Canis lupus familiaris: one gene and its partners. The protein of the gene in region 1 purifies or fractionates together with the protein of each later gene. This does not show direct contact. Links are inferred from orthologs where the notes say so. Each region holds a gene or a part of one and is shown on either strand. Other genes may lie near its edges. The genes, in order: FBXW8, CUL1, CUL7 and CCDC8.

What was found.
Region 2: the proteins of FBXW8 (region 1) and CUL1 purify together in Homo sapiens (affinity purification with western blotting; 9 studies listed by BioGRID and IntAct, with this or other methods). This does not show direct contact. The link is inferred for Canis lupus familiaris from reciprocal best matches to the Homo sapiens genes FBXW8 and CUL1.
Region 3: the proteins of FBXW8 (region 1) and CUL7 purify together in Homo sapiens (affinity purification with western blotting; 12 studies listed by BioGRID and IntAct, with this or other methods). This does not show direct contact. The link is inferred for Canis lupus familiaris from reciprocal best matches to the Homo sapiens genes FBXW8 and CUL7.
Region 4: the proteins of FBXW8 (region 1) and CCDC8 purify together in Homo sapiens (affinity purification with mass spectrometry; 3 studies listed by BioGRID and IntAct, with this or other methods). This does not show direct contact. The link is inferred for Canis lupus familiaris from reciprocal best matches to the Homo sapiens genes FBXW8 and CCDC8.

What each region holds. Positions count from the first base shown.
Region 1 is NC_049247.1:13,930,946-13,934,509, forward strand, and holds part of FBXW8 (F-box/WD repeat-containing protein 8), read left to right. Parts: intron 1-2,851; coding exon 2,852-3,058; intron 3,059-3,564. UniProt on the Homo sapiens protein: Substrate-recognition component of the Cul7-RING(FBXW8) ubiquitin ligase complex, which mediates the ubiquitination and subsequent proteasomal degradation of target proteins.
Region 2 is NC_049237.1:1,677,407-1,680,970, reverse strand, and holds part of CUL1 (cullin-1), read left to right. Parts: intron 1-1,310; coding exon 1,311-1,473; intron 1,474-2,726; coding exon 2,727-2,857; intron 2,858-3,564. UniProt on the Homo sapiens protein: Core component of multiple cullin-RING-based SCF (SKP1-CUL1-F-box protein) E3 ubiquitin-protein ligase complexes, which mediate the ubiquitination of proteins involved in cell cycle progression, signal transduction and transcription.
Region 3 is NC_049233.1:11,755,903-11,759,466, reverse strand, and holds part of CUL7 (cullin-7), read left to right. Parts: coding exon 1-287; intron 288-806; coding exon 807-945; intron 946-1,041; coding exon 1,042-1,238; intron 1,239-1,526; coding exon 1,527-1,755; intron 1,756-2,270; coding exon 2,271-2,508; intron 2,509-2,589; coding exon 2,590-2,695; intron 2,696-3,564. UniProt on the Homo sapiens protein: Core component of the 3M and Cul7-RING(FBXW8) complexes, which mediate the ubiquitination and subsequent proteasomal degradation of target proteins. Core component of the 3M complex, a complex required to regulate microtubule dynamics and genome integrity.
Region 4 is NC_049222.1:110,057,525-110,061,773, reverse strand, and holds the start of CCDC8 (coiled-coil domain-containing protein 8), read left to right. Parts: upstream 1-1,428; 5' UTR 1,429-2,170; coding exon 2,171-3,736; 3' UTR 3,737-4,249. UniProt on the Homo sapiens protein: Core component of the 3M complex, a complex required to regulate microtubule dynamics and genome integrity. It is unclear how the 3M complex regulates microtubules, it could act by controlling the level of a microtubule stabilizer.

The DNA of each region.
Region 1 (3,564 bases):
TCACAGTAGCTTTGCAAAATAGATAGTATTCTTTCCCCCAGTTACCAAAAAGCCAATAGAGGCTTAGAGCCAATCTGAGGCTTTGCCCAGATCTCAAAGCTAGGAAGTTGTGCTTCAAGCCTCAGGGCTGACTTTAAGGCTAAGGTTTCTCATCTGGGTCTGAAGCTGTGGTCCTCAGCTTTCTTCACATTCACCCCTGGAAATCTGAGCTTGGTTTCTGGCCTATTATAGAAGTGAAAATGAATTCAGTGGTATCATCCCAGTCCATATGGGAAGGAAGATTTCCATCCTGCACTTTCTTCCGCCTAAGATTTTCTCACCTGGAATTAAAAGTAACTCCTGAGTGAAAATAAATTTAAGTCAGTGTTAATTGGATAGCCGCGTTCCAGGGTGTCCTGTGTGAGACTCAGCCAACCTTAAGACCTCTTCACATAGATCCTATCTCCAAGTATAGTTGTACTTGAGCCTCCATGTTTATATGGCAGGAGATGATTTTGTGGTAAGAAGAAAGAGCTCAAATCTGTGCTAAATTTAGATTTAATTTAAACACTTGATTTTGGCAGTACTGGAGGAGTGAACAGAAAAGCCGGTATTGAATGATGAATTGGTGGTCTAACCCAGAACAGATCTTGTTCTCCTCCCTTTCTCACCCTGCTAGAAATCTTGTTAGGCTTGAGTAACTAAAAAGCCATGGTGTCACCACTTCACCCCAATAAGCTTCTCGTCCCTTAAAGACCAATTTCTACAGTTTGGGTGGTGGTTTCCCCAAACAGCCTGATGCTCCTTTTGGAGTTTTATTAGAAAAATGTGGAAGTACTATCTTTCTGTTTGTTCTTAAAACTACCATAGTGTTTATTATTTGGTCTCTACCTAAAGAACATTCTACACTAGCAATAATTATATGAATTCAGACAATTATTTAAGATGTGAGTTCCTCTATACAGGGTAAATCCTGCCTTGGCAATAAGGTGGTGTTCTGGCATAGACTAGAAGCTTTTTGAAGTAGTTTATAGCTCTTGGCGAATGGCACAACCACAGCCGATATGAGCCTCTTGGTCTGTCAATACTCCAACAGTAAAGTGAAATTAAATGGCTAGACTGAGGATGTTGATTTTAGGAAAATAAGAAATGAGTTTTAGAATACGAGAGAGAGGAAGGAAGCAGACACTGCTGGAGGCATGTGTTACTATACTTCTTATGTGTTATTTCTCCTCCTGGGTTAGGGGTTGCCATAGAATATGCTGTCACTGAAAAAGGCACCTCTTGGCCCATTAGTGCTGGGCCATTTTTGTCTTCCCCAGATAGGCTCCCTGAATCACAGTGGCGGTGTTCCCCAGTTTGTACTACTGGCTGAGAACGTCTGTCCTTTGTGATGAGTTCTTGGCTGGGGATGTGGGGCCGTGCTCACTCTTGGGCCGGAGGATTAGCATAGTCACCCGGATGTTTACGCTCTCCCAAGCTCCTTTGGACAGTCCTCAGGATTCAGGCTTTTGAACTCATTTGGCTTATTGTCAGGGCAGTGCTGTCCTTTTACACAGTGGTTTTCATAATTACACAGCATGGCACACCTTCTGCTTTTGTGCTCTCAGATTTTACTCGAGGTGAAAACCTGGTGTAAACTGTGCTCAGGAAAAATGTGCCACTTCGGGACATAGACAAGCAAATTATTCCTAAAGGGAACGCCTCATTCCCCTGCAGTTTAGAGAAAGTGTTGCAATAATGCAGTCAGGAGTACTGAAGTGGCATAAAAGTACTGGTGGCAGCCTTTCTACCCTCGATGACATTGAAGCCAGCAGAGGACATGTAACTCAGGTACTTTTAGTCTTTTAGCAACACAAATATCATTTTTGGTATTTGCACAAATGTTAAAATGTGAAGTGTGCTAATTTGGAACGGAGTGGATTTCATTCAATTTCTTGTAAAAAAAAAAAACTTAAAATTTTTTGAATAGTTATACCCTCATGGTTCAGAATTTAAAAGATATAGAAAGGTTTACAGGGAGAAATCTGTCTTCCACTCCATCAAAAAACTCTGTGCCCTTTTCAAAGGCAGCCGTTGTTAGCAGATTTATAGTTGCATAAGCCACATATATGTCTCATGGTACCTCTGGTCCCCCTGGCCCCCCTTCACACACATTAGCACACTGTGAATCATATCACTTTGCTTCCTTGCCTCCCGCACCCCCAAATTTATCTTGGAGATGATTCCATTTGTATCAGTTTATAAAGAATGCTTCATGCTTGTTTTCTGTGGCTGCATAGTATTCCAATAGATACACTGTTAATTAGTCTCTTAATAAGGCATGTTTAGGCTTTCCCAGTTTTAGTTAAGACAACATAGTGCCACAGTAAGTAACCATGTACACAGTTGTTTTGCATATGTGTGAATTTATCTGTAAATAAATTCCTAGGGCTGACTTGCTGGTTCAGAGCGCATATGCCTTTGACATTGTGGTAAGTTTTGCCAGTGTCTCTCTAGAGAGGCTGGACCAGTTTACATCCCACCAACCATAAGTGGGATCCACAAATGTGGTTGTCCCTTCCTCTAGTTCTAGATCAGTGTCCTAGCAGGCTAATTGATCTTTGCTGATATGACTGGTGAAAATGGTATTGCTGAATTTTTATTTCACATTCCTCTTTTTAGGAATATATCATGTTTCTTTTACAAAGAGCAACTTTTTTGTTAGTGTGAGAACTATGTTCTCATTTCCTGTGAACTGTGACCCTTTGCCTGTCTTTTTCTGTTAGGGTTGCTGGCCTTATTGATGTGTAGGAGAAATTGTATTTTTTACCAAGTCAGGAGGAACTATAGGTGAGATCTGATGGGCTACATAACTCTTATCCTTTCACAGGTTGACTACCTTGAAATAGTACCAGATACTGGAAGGTACCCTGTGGCAGTGGCCACGGCTGGAGATCTGGTATACCTGCTAAAGGCTGAAGACTCTGCCAGAACCCTCCATTATGTGTACGGCCAGCCAGTCACATGTCTGGATGTCTCAGCCAACCAGGCTGCTTTTGGTGTGAAGAGTCTAGGATGGGTATACGAAGGAAACAAGGTACAAAAATAGTAAGATGTATAAGTAACAAAAAAAGAACATTGATTTTTATTTTTTATAAGGCAATTAAAAAATTAAATCTCTCTGTTTATATTTTATAAGGTGTATTCAGGCACTATATATTCAGCATGGTGAAAAAGAGGAATCTCAAGCACTTCTAAAGGATATAAAATGAAAAGTAACTGTTTCCTTTCTCCTGCCTTCCCCCAGCCTCCCTCCACAGAAGAAACTATTAAACATTTTTTAGGTGTCCATCTAGAAAAATTTAACGCATTTATAGGTACATTTATACACTAAAAACTTATCTTTGTAGAAATGAGATCATAGTATACATACTGTCCTGTACTCAACATTTTTATTCAGTAATCTACCTTGGAGAGCATTCCCTGTCAGCACATACCATGCTCCTTCTCACTGGGATTCCGGTGTATGCTTACGACCCATAGTCTGTTTATTCAGCCCCCTTGCTGGTAGGCAGTTAGGTCGCTTTCACTATTTGGGCTATT
Region 2 (3,564 bases), on another chromosome or scaffold:
TCGTGAGCTAGATGTGCAAATTCCTCCTCTGTGTTCCCTTTTCTGTGATGTTTAGGGATATTTTAGTGGAACCACTTGAGACTCTTTGGCTTCTCTGCAATAGGGATGGCTTTGATTAATGAACCCTAAACCACATTTGGGTTAACATATCCCACTGTCTTCGTGTGATTGAAACTAATGTGAGCTACAAAAGATTTATTGACTATTCTAGGTTACTGATGTCTCTCTTTCTCTCTTTCTCTCTCTCTCTCACACACACACACACACACACACACACACTTTAAAAATAAAATATACAGGGCAGCATGGGTGGCTCAGCAGTTTAGTGCTGCCTTCAGCCCAGGGCGTGATCCTGGAGACCCGGCATCGAGTACCACGTCCGGCTCCCTGCATGGAGCCTGCTTCTCCCTCTGCCTGTGTCTGTGCCTCTCTCTCTCTCTCTCTCTCTCTCTGTGTCTATCATGAATGAATGAATGAATGAATGAATAAATAAATAAATAAATCTATCTATCTATCTTTAAAAAAAATAAAATCATTTTGCAAAGTTTGGTACTTTTATAATACAAAATATAGCTTTTCTTTTTATTCAGATCACCTGAATAATTTGAGATTATCATTGAAATTTTGTCCTTGCTTCCATAGTTTAGTGGTTCCTTGGTGATACTTTACAAAATTTCTGGTGATGCTTTGTAAAATACATGGACTTTCATTTATTTTGCTGCCCTTCTTATGACATCTTTGTTTTCCTCTCTTCCTTGAAGGGAATTGTAAGAACTCGAGATTAATAAATCCACTAGTTACAGAGGCACATACCCAGATTGGCAAAAGAAGCCCATGTTTTTCTTTAAATTTTTTTTAAAAAGTATGATTACTGATAACTATTTCCATGTGGTCGTCATCTCAGGGAATATATTTGTGTGACCCTTGACTTCAGTAGCTTTCGGCCAGAAGTAGGGGTTCTAAATATGGTATCTGTGTATGAGAGATGATCCGTAGGTTTCTCAGATATTTCCCCCAAAAGGTGAAGTGCCATGTATCTGAAGGAAGAAAGGTAGCATAAACGCATTTGAATTGCTCATAGTGATGACCTTGGTAAGTCATTTCAAAGGAGCTGGAGGTAGAAATATACTATAGAGAAAATGAGCACATCATTGACCACTTAAATATGGTTGGTGTTCACCCAAAACCAAAGAACTCCTTCCCTTTTCTCTTAATTTATTAGAGCAGGTTTGTGAGTTTAATTTGCCATTTTTCACGTAACAATTTTTTAGAAACAAACCCAGACTGTTTGCTTGAATTAATTCCTGCAGGCAGAGGCCCGTCTGCTCGAGGAACAGAGAAGGGTCCAGGTCTACCTTCATGAAAGCACACAAGATGAACTAGCAAGGAAGTGTGAGCAAGTGCTCATTGAAAAACACTTGGAAATTTTCCACACAGAATTCCAGAACTTGTTGGATGCTGACAAAAATGAAGGTGAGCCTCTCAGACTTTCAGGACATGTGCATGTCTATTATGACCTACAGTTTTGACATTGTTTGAAATTCTAGACTCAGAGGTAACAATATCACCAACATCAATCACTTTCTGAAAGATTAACATGTGAGTGTGCATTTACCTTGTGTGTAGATTTCAGGCCTCTGTAGAGTGTTTTGGGTATAACTTTCGGGGGCAGGGAGAGCATCTTTGCAGTTCCACTGGGAATATAACTTGTTGCATACACTTCAGCATGAAATGATACTACCCCCGATTTTTTTCTTGAGGATTTTTATTTTGAAAATTCTTCAAGGGATCCCTGGATGGCGCAGCGGTTTGGCGCCTGCCTTTGGCCCACGGCGGATCCTGGAGACCTGGGATCGAATCCCACATCGGGCTCCCGGTGCATGGAGCCTGCTTCTCCCTCTGCCTGTGTCTCTACCTCTCTCTCTCTCTCTCTCTCTCTCTCTGTGACTATCATAAATAAATAAAAAACTAAAAATTCTTCAAGATGTGAAGGCTAGTATTTTGTAAAAGTATTTCTTTTACCCTTCAGGTTTTACCAGGACATGTTAGGAACTCAGTAAAAGATTGAAGTTCAAAAGTTTTTTTCTTTGTCCTTCATAAACTAACCATGTGCCACACATGTAGTTAATTTGGGGACCCTTTTGTGACTCACTTGTTTGTAGAGTTGAGATGGATATTCATAAATGCTCCTTAAATGTATTCATTTTTTTAAAATAAATATTTGAGGGATGCCTGGGTGACTCTGGTTGAGAGTCTGCCTTCGGCTCAGGTCATGGTCCTGCGTCAGGTTCCCTACAGGGAGCCTGTTTCTCGCTCTGCCTGTGTTTCTGCCTCTCTCTGTGTCTTTCATAAATAAATAATCTTAAAATAAATATTTGAGTGCCTATTATGTATCTAACATAAATAATATCTCAAGCTTGAGAATTTTAGGTAGCATCAGAAACACTTTCTGATAAAACGATGTTTTTTCTCTGTTATTTTGGTGGTTTCTCATACTAAAGGGAAAAAATAAACTTTTACAATAGGACAACTTCATTGTTGTTTTCAGCTTAATATACATATACAAAGGACAAAATATTTGGCTATAATTAAAACATTTTTGATTATTTAGATCTGAAAACACCGTTTTATTTCAAGGTATTTTTCATCACAGTATAAATACATACTTAGTACAATGGATATGTAAAGTTTATTCCGTGTATAATGGTGGCACCTTCTTCTTTCAGATTTGGGTCGCATGTATAATCTTGTATCTAGAATCCAGGATGGCCTAGGAGAATTGAAAAAACTTCTAGAGACACACATTCATAATCAGGGTCTTGCGGCAATTGAAAAATGTGGAGAAGCTGCTTTAAATGTAAGTACTGTGTAATTGGAAATCAGTCAGGCCTAACCATTTCCACACAGGAACTGCAGACATGTGTGCCTCCATTTATGAATCCAAGTGATAAGATTTTCACTAGAGCTCTCACAGGGAACCTTGTTTTGGCTTTTTAAAACAAGGTTCACAAACCTCTTGGTTTAGTAAATTCCTCCATGAACTTTTCTCTGATATCTTTCAGGCATTGCGGATGTCATTTCTTGATATTTTTTTCCCTTCATGTCTTCTCACAATTACATTCCTTACACTAGAAAAGAGAAGATTCATCCATAGAATGAATAGACTAAAGCCTCCTAGACACTTGGCTCCATCACCCACCGGCCACAGGCTGTACCTGTTGGGGACTTTGAGGACCCCTGCTGCTGCCACCCCCCACCCCACCCCCAGAAGGTCACAGGGCTCTTTGCCCTGGATCATCCCTGAAACGTGTAGTAGTCCTATGAACCCTACTACGCCAGGAGGCATATGGAATGTTCCTACTAGTGTAATTTCAGGTGATAATTTCTCATAGGGAGTACCTCGTGTTCCTAAAAGATGGGTAAGTTGTCCTTGGTTTTGTCCCTGTTGGCATTTTAATTTTAATAGTGTTTGGGAGAATAAGGAAAAGCTTCTAGAACATGGTTGGTTCTTACATCTAAATCAGAAAACATTTTAGTCTCTGATTTTATTGTGTTTAATGTTAG
Region 3 (3,564 bases), on another chromosome or scaffold:
CCTTGAGCAGACAAAGGCCTTTGGCACGGTCCTCCTGCTCCATCTTCCAGCCCCAACTGGCAGAGGCTGGCCCCGGGCTGCCACCCACCCGGGCCCAGCCCTCCATTAGGAGGTCAAGGAGGTTCCGCCCTCGCTCTGAGTTTGCAAGTGGCAATACTTATGCCTTGTATGTGCGAGAGACGCTGCAGGCTGGGATGCGAGTGCGCATGCTGGATGACTACGAGGAGGTCAGCGCTGGGGATGAGGGAGAGTTCCGTCAGAGCAACAACGGCATGCCCCCCGTGCAGGTGAGCCAAGACATGTGTGAGATGCTGTCAGGGCTCTAGCTGGGGGAGCATAACTGGGGCTTCCATACAGGGGGCTCTGGCAGGCCACCCATGGAAAAAAAAAAAACCCTGTGGGGATTGGAGTGGTGAAAAGAGGTCAGGGAGGTGAGAAGGGGGCCATTTGGAGGGCTGAGAAAATCAGGGTTGGGTAGGCTATGAGGTCAGGAAGACTCACTCCCAGGAAAAAAACTGATAAAGCAAGACTCTCCCAAAGGTCAGGGTCAGAGAGAGAGTAGCTGAGGCCAGGAGGAAGTGTGGGGACGAGTGGGTGGGAGGAGAAGCAGAGCCTATTCCCATAGGACAGGTCATCCTTTGTGTGTGTGTGTTCTCCGTATGCCAGCATTGTGTTCTTTGGAGGTTGCTCTAAACCTGGCCAGGTGGTCAGCCTGAGGGCTGTATGTCCTCATCACTGGGCCACAGCATAGCCAGTCTTGAAGTGAGCCATCTCTTCTTCCCTCTCTTTTTTCCCATATCCACCAGGTGTTGTGGGAGTCGACGGGCCGCACCTACTGGGTGCACTGGCACATGCTGGAAATTCTGGGCTTTGAGGAAGACATTGAGGATGTGGTTGAGGCCAATGAGTACCAGGGGGCAGTGGTCAGTGGAGCCCTGGGTGTAGGTGAGCCCCAAGAGGAAACAGGGTCAGCTCTGAGCACAGGAGCACAGGAGCTGGGTAGGCAATGATATCCCTGTGCCCTTTGACCTGTTTCCATAGCTCTGCCTTCCTGGCGGTGGAAGCCCATGACAGAGCTCTATGCAGTGCCCTACGTGCTGCCTGAGGATGAGGATGCTGAGGAGAGTGAGCACCTGACCCAGGCGGAGTGGTGGGAGCTCCTCTTCTTTATCAAGAAGCTGGACGGGCCTGACCATCAGGAGGTTCTCCAGATCCTCCAGGAGAACCTGGATGGGGAGGTACCCAGCCTGGAGACACCCAGAAGTTGGAGGACTCAATACAAGGGCTGGACTGAGAGAGCATTTGGGAGGCTTAGGATGGGGAGTGGAGGACCACAGTGTAAGGGGCTGCAGAGGAAGGATCTAGAATGTTCAGAGGCATTGGAAAGCCATATGGGAGGAGGCAGCTGCCAGCCATGAGAGGTTCAGGATGGAGAGGTGTGTGCAGAGATCCCCACCCCTACTAGTGCCTCTGGAACCTCTGTGCTGGCAGGGCTACCTGCAGTGAAACCTTCTCCCCGGTGACAGATTCTGGATGACGAGATCCTGGCTGAGCTGGCTGTGCCCATGGAGTTGGCCCAGGACCTACTGCTGGCTCTGCCACAGCGACTTGATGACAGCGCTCTCAGGGACCTGCTCAACTGCCGTGTCTACAGGAAATACGGGCCTGAGGCCCTGGCAGGGCACCCAGCTTACCCAACCCTTCTGGAAGCCCAGGCCCAGCCTCAGGAATCAGCAGGTGCAGCCAGAGTGGAAGGTGGGGTGCCAGACAGACTTTGCAGCAGCTCTGCAGACTGGTGTCTAGAAGGGCTTCAGCCTAGGAGAGGTGTCTATGCTGATTTTGTACCATCCTGTCTGGAAGAGTTGGCACCTAAGGAAAAATCTGATGCATAGAGCTGCTTCCTCCAATGAATGAGGGAGGATGGAAAGTCAGAAAATTGAAAGAGATTTGAAGTCTCATAAAGCCCCACATTGAACTTTTCCTGTTGTAGAGAAAGCCAAATTAATTGCATGCTTTTAGATATAGGGAAATGCTCTGCTGTTTGCAGACGGGAAGTTCCTATGCTATTTTAAGAATATAAAACATAAGATTTGTCACAGAGCTGTCTTTTAAATACATTAAGAGATGCTGTAAGATCCCCAAACTCATTTTAGGAGGATCTCCCCAAAAAACATTGTTAGGAAAAATTAGGAGTTATGAACGTGTCTGTCCTTTTCTGATCCTGACATTACCAACGATAGCCAACTCTTGTGATGTCCACCTTTCTGTAGGAAAAGAACCCCCAGCTCAGTATCCTGACACTCCTCTGTGGCGACTGCTGGTGGATTGTGGTCCACCTGGGAGAACCTTCCTGGACCTGGAGCGAGCTCTCAGCTCAGAGGGGCCCCAGGAGACAGAGATCAAGCCGTTCCTGCTGCAGCTGCAGCGGCAGCCCCAACCTTTCCTTATCCTGATGCAGAGCCTCGCCACCCCGGCAGCCAACAAGCCCCTGCACCTGACCGTTCTGAGGTGAGGGGGTGGGGAGGGGCATGGGGCAGAAGGGTCCCTGAGGCTAGCTACACATCTCTTGCCTCCCCACCCCCTCCCCAGAATCCTGATGCAGCTGGTGGACTTCCCCGAGGCGCTGCTGCTCCCCTGGCACGAGGCCATGGACGCCTGCATGGCCTGCCTGCGGTCACCAGACACTGACCGAGAGGTACTCCCATCTTGCTCTGGGGAGATGCTGGAGGGAGAGGTCGCAAGGAGGGCCTCTGGAGGGCACGATGGAGCCTTTGTGCTCCTGGTTTAGGATTTATTTTTAAAATCAAATTTGATTTTTTCAAATAGGTAATATATTCATACAGGTCACAAATTAAAATGGCCTAACAAGGGATACACTGAGAATTCTCACTTCCATATGTTCTCACTTCCATCCAATTTTTCCAGTGCCTCTCCCCATGCCCTGTATTGGTTATCATTTGTATTAATGTATGTGTCCTTCCTGTGTGCCCATTTGCAAGTATAAATATGCCCAAGTGGATGATCTGATTTGCCATATCCTTTCTTACACAAAAGGTTACATTTATTTTACATTAGCCTTAGTGACTCCTGTTTGGCTGAGCTCCTGTTTAAGGGACAGGGGGATAAAGGAGGCGGAAGAGACATCACATCTCAGGATCCCCTGTCACAGAGAGGTCCTGGGCTTGGAACGCTTGGCAGTGGGTGTCTGCAATGCATGCCTTTGGCTGTTACCCAGATTTTCATTTCGGAGGTGGACTCACTGAGTGTCCCTCTCCGCCTCCTCCCTGCCATCAGGGTATCTGTGTCTGGGGCCTGAGCATCTCAAAATGCAGCCCCACAACTGCTTCTTGGGACATGGCCTAAAAAGGAACAAACTGGGAAGCTCTCTGCACCTATTGCCAACATAATCAGTAGTTGAGAACCCCAGGACAGCAGAGCATCTCAGCTTTTCTGTGACTGTTTGCCTTGGGTTCTCTGACTGCACCCAGCCCTTTCATCTTCCCCCCTTCCTGCCTTCTTTCCTCACTGTCTGTTCACTGTTGTCGCCCCAGCAGCCAGCACACA
Region 4 (4,249 bases), on another chromosome or scaffold:
TTCAAATCCAGGTTCCATTACTTCTGGCAGTGGGACCTTGAGTAAGTGATTTTTTTTAAAAAAAGATTTTATTTATTTGAGAGAGGGAGCATGAACAGAGAGGGAAAAGCAGACTCCCTGCTGGGCAGGGAACCCAATATGGGACTCGATCCCAGGACTCTGGGATCATGACCTGAGCCAAAGGCAGATACTTAACTACCTGAGCCACCCAGGTACCCCGAGTAGGTGATATTTACATCCTCAGCTATAAATGGGAATGATCGGACCCCTGGGTGGCTCAGTACGCTAAAGCGGCTGCTTTGGGCTCAGGTCATGATCCAGGGGTCCTGGGATGGAGCCCCACCTCTCCCTCCCTGCTCAGCAGGGGGTCTGCTTCTCTTCTCTCTCTGTTCTCTTTCTCAAGTAGATAAATAAAATCTTTTAATAAAATAAAATAAGGGATCCCTGGGTGGCGCAGCGGTTTGGCGCCTGCCTTTGGCCCCGGCGCGATCCTGGAGACCCGGGATCAAATCCCACATCAGGCTCCCGGTGCATGGAGGCTGCTTCTCCCTCTGCCTGTGTCTCTGCCTCTCTCTCTCTCTCTCTCTCTCTCTCTCTCTCTCTCTCTGTGACCATCATAAATAAATAAAAATTAAAAAAATAATAATAAAATAAAATGGGAATGATCATATTACCTGTATCATAATGTTATAGGGAGGATTTCATGAGTTAGTCTGCAGAAAGCACTTAGAATGGTGTCTAAGGACGCAGGAGACGCTCCATAAAACCTGACTCTCCTTTTCACCGGATGCTTCTTTTTACAGAGCTGCATAGTCTTTCAATGCGAGAACCGTACAACCAAGCCAGCGCCTCCTGATGAACACTTCGGTTCCTTCCTTCACCCCCACAATCTTTATTGAGCACCTACCGTGTGCCAAGCCTGGTGCTAGAGGCTAGCGCAGTTACGATCCTGGTACTAATCTCTCCACCGACCTGTAAGGAGGTCGGAACCTGTATGGCTAAAGAGGTAGGGACCTCTTGGTACCCAAAGTCACATGATGTGAAGTGGTCACCTCCAGTGCCAGTGGCTGGTACCCAAGGTCACATGGTGTGAAGTGGTCACCTCCAGTGCCGGTGGCTTTCCAAAGGACCGCCCCGTGAGCACCGCCACCTCCAGGGCTCGGCTGGAAGCCCCGGCTTTAGCAGGGCAGGTTAGGGAACTGCCGCCTTTCCCCCAGGGAAGGTGCTGACGTGGGCCCCGGCGGGGGCGTCCGCCTCGGGAGCGGTGGCCCCAAGGAGGCCCGGAGCGCGGCCACACCCCTGTGGGGGAGGGAATAAGGGCGCCCCGAAGGGAGTGGACAGCCCCCCTGTCAGTCTTCCCGAGTCCGGGAGTGTAAGATGAGAAGGGGAAGGTGGGCCTCCCCGAGGGGAGAGCGAGGAGGAACTTCCTGCCCGCGCTCCTCGGCGCTGAGCGCTCGGGCTGGGGAGGCTGTGGGCGCGTCAAGGTCGGCCTGGGACTGGGGTGGCCGCCTGCCCGGGGGCGGGAGACCCTGGGGGGCCGGGCTGCGGCCCCCAAGCGCCTCGGCCTTATTGAAGAGCCGTCTTCGTGTGCGAAGGCCTCTCCCAAGCTGCGGGCGCGTCCCGAGGCAGGAAGAGCCACGGGGCAGCCCGTGCGCCCCCACTAGCTTGGAGCCGGGACTCCACGTCTGCAGCTGGCGGTGGGCTTCGAGCCCCAGGACTCGCCTCTCCCGGGCTCACGTAAGCATCCTGGGGATTGATTCCCGCCAGTCCTCGGTGGTGGGCGGGGAGCCGGACTCGGTCAAGACTGGACTTTGTGGCGGGCAGAGGAGTCGGGAGGGGCTGGCTCATCCTTGGCTGCAGAGGTGAGACCCTCCCCGGGGGCAGTTCTGCTGGGACCCCCACCCCCAAGACTCAGGCCTATTTGTAGTTTGGGGTCGTTGCCCCCAGCCCAGATTTCACCCTGGAGATCTTAAAGACCCTCGAGAAAAGCCACGTGGGGGGCTGGTTCCCCTGGGGCTTCCTCCCATCCCCCGACTCCCTGATCCTCTGGAGCGTCCCTGATGTGTGCAAAGATGTGGATCTGGACGTCCTCGTGGAAGCCTTGAAGCCCGTTGGGACCTTTAAGAAGATTGGCAAGGTGTTCCGCAGGGAGGAGGACTCCACGGTGGGGATGCTGCAGATCGGGGAGGACGTCGACTATTTGCTCATCCCCCGGGAGGTCAGGCTGGCCGGAGGCGTGTGGAGGGTCATCTCCAAGCCTGCCACCAAGGAGGCGGAATTTCGGGAGCGGCTGATCCAGTTTCTGGAGGAAGAAGGCCGCACATTGGAGGACGTGGCCCGCATCATTGAGAAGAGCACCCCACACCCGCCCCAGCCCCCCAGAAAGCCCAAGGAGCCCGGAGGGAGGAGGAGAGTCCAGCAGATGGTGACCCCTCCCCCACGCCTGGTCGTGGGCACCTATGACAGCAGCAATGCCAGCGACAGCGAGTTCAGTGACTTCGACACCTCCAGAGACAAGCGTGACAAGGGTGACAAAGGTCACAAAGGTGCAGGGCGCAGCAGGAAGGTGCGCAAAATGCCAGTCAGTTACCTGGGCAGCAAATTTCTAGGGAGCGACCTGGAGAGCGAGGACGACGAGGAACTGGTGGAGGCCTTCCTGCAGCGAGGGGAGAAGAAGCCCAGCGCGCCACCTGCCCGCCGCCGGGTGAACCTGCCAGTGCCCATGTTCGAGGACAACCCCAGGCCGCAGCTGTCCAAGGCTGACAGGTGGCGAGAGTATGTCAGCCAGGTGTCCTGGGGGAAGCTGAAGCGGAGGGTGAAGGGTTGGGCGCCCAGGTCCAGCCCCGAGGTGGGCGAGGCCCGGCAGGCCTCTACCAGGCTGGAGAGGGTTGGGGCGTCCATACTGGGCAGAGCCAGCCGGGGGGTTAATGTGGGCAACACAGGAGCTGAGCAGGTGCCTGAGAGTCCCCCAAGACGATGGAGGCCCAAAATCAACTGGGCCTCTTTTCGCCGTCACAGGAGGGAAGAAGCAGCATCCACAGAGGAGGGGGCAGAGGTTGTAGATGATCAGAGAGCAGAGGCTGCAGATGATCAGGGGGCTGAGGCTGCAGATAATCAGAGGGCAGAGGCTGCAGATGATCAGAGGGCAGAGGCTGCAGATGATCAGGGGGCTGAGGCTGCAGATGATCAGGGGGCTGAGGCTGCAGATAATCAGAGAGCTGAGGCTGCAGATAATCAGAGGGCAGAGGCTGCAGATAATCAGAGGGCAGAGGCTGCAGATGATCAAAGAGTAGAGGCCATACCTGTCCAGGGGGCAGAGGCCATAGCTGTCCAGAGGGCAGAAGTTGCAAGTAGTCAGGGGGAAGGGGCTCCAGATAATCAAAGGGCAGAGGTCCCAGTTGTCCAGGGGGCAGAGGCTGCATCCGATGGGGCAGAAGCCATAGCCAACCAGAGGGCAGAAGCGGCACATAACCAAAGGGCAGAAGCCCCAGCTGCCCAGGTGGCCACAGGGACAACCCAAGGAGCTAAGGCCCGGAAACAGGTCAAGACAGTGAGGTTCCAGACCCCTGGACGTTTTTCATGGTTTCGCAAACGCCGGAGAGCCTTCTGGCACACTCCCCGGTTGCCAACCCTGCCCAAGAGAGTCCCCAGGGCAGGCGAGGCCAGGAGCCTTAGAGTGTTAAGGGCAGAGGCCAGAGCAGAAGCAGAGCAGGGAGAGCGAGAAGACCAGCTGTGAGGTGAGGGCAGGGGTGCCCTGGGGCTCGCAGCCACCTGCCATACCATCACCACTCTGGGCTCGGCCCTCCCTCCCCTGCACTTGGGTGGAGATGCCCTTCCTGCCACCATACTTGAAAATGCAAGTGGACAAGGGTCGGGCAGTGGTCCTCCCATCTCCACCCAGCACCCATCTTTCCTGTTAAAAGTTTATCTTTCATGCATTGATTTTTTGTTTTTAAAGACTCTTTCTAGTCACCCAAGGAATGTAAAGAAACAGAGCCATACAAAGGGGTTGCATCACTCATGATTTTAACTTCTCAAATGCGACTCTAGGTGCTCAGCTTGGCGGGGGCAGGATGCTAGGGAGAAATTTCCTCCCCTCCCCCTTTCTCTTCTTTTCTCCTGCACACTTAACATTGACCGCCTCCTTGAACTTAAGAAAAAAGGGGCTCGAGCCGACATGCAAATAAAATGCTTACCACGTGATTTCCTGGCTCTGGACTGGGCAGCTGAAGAATGCTCCAGGGTTATG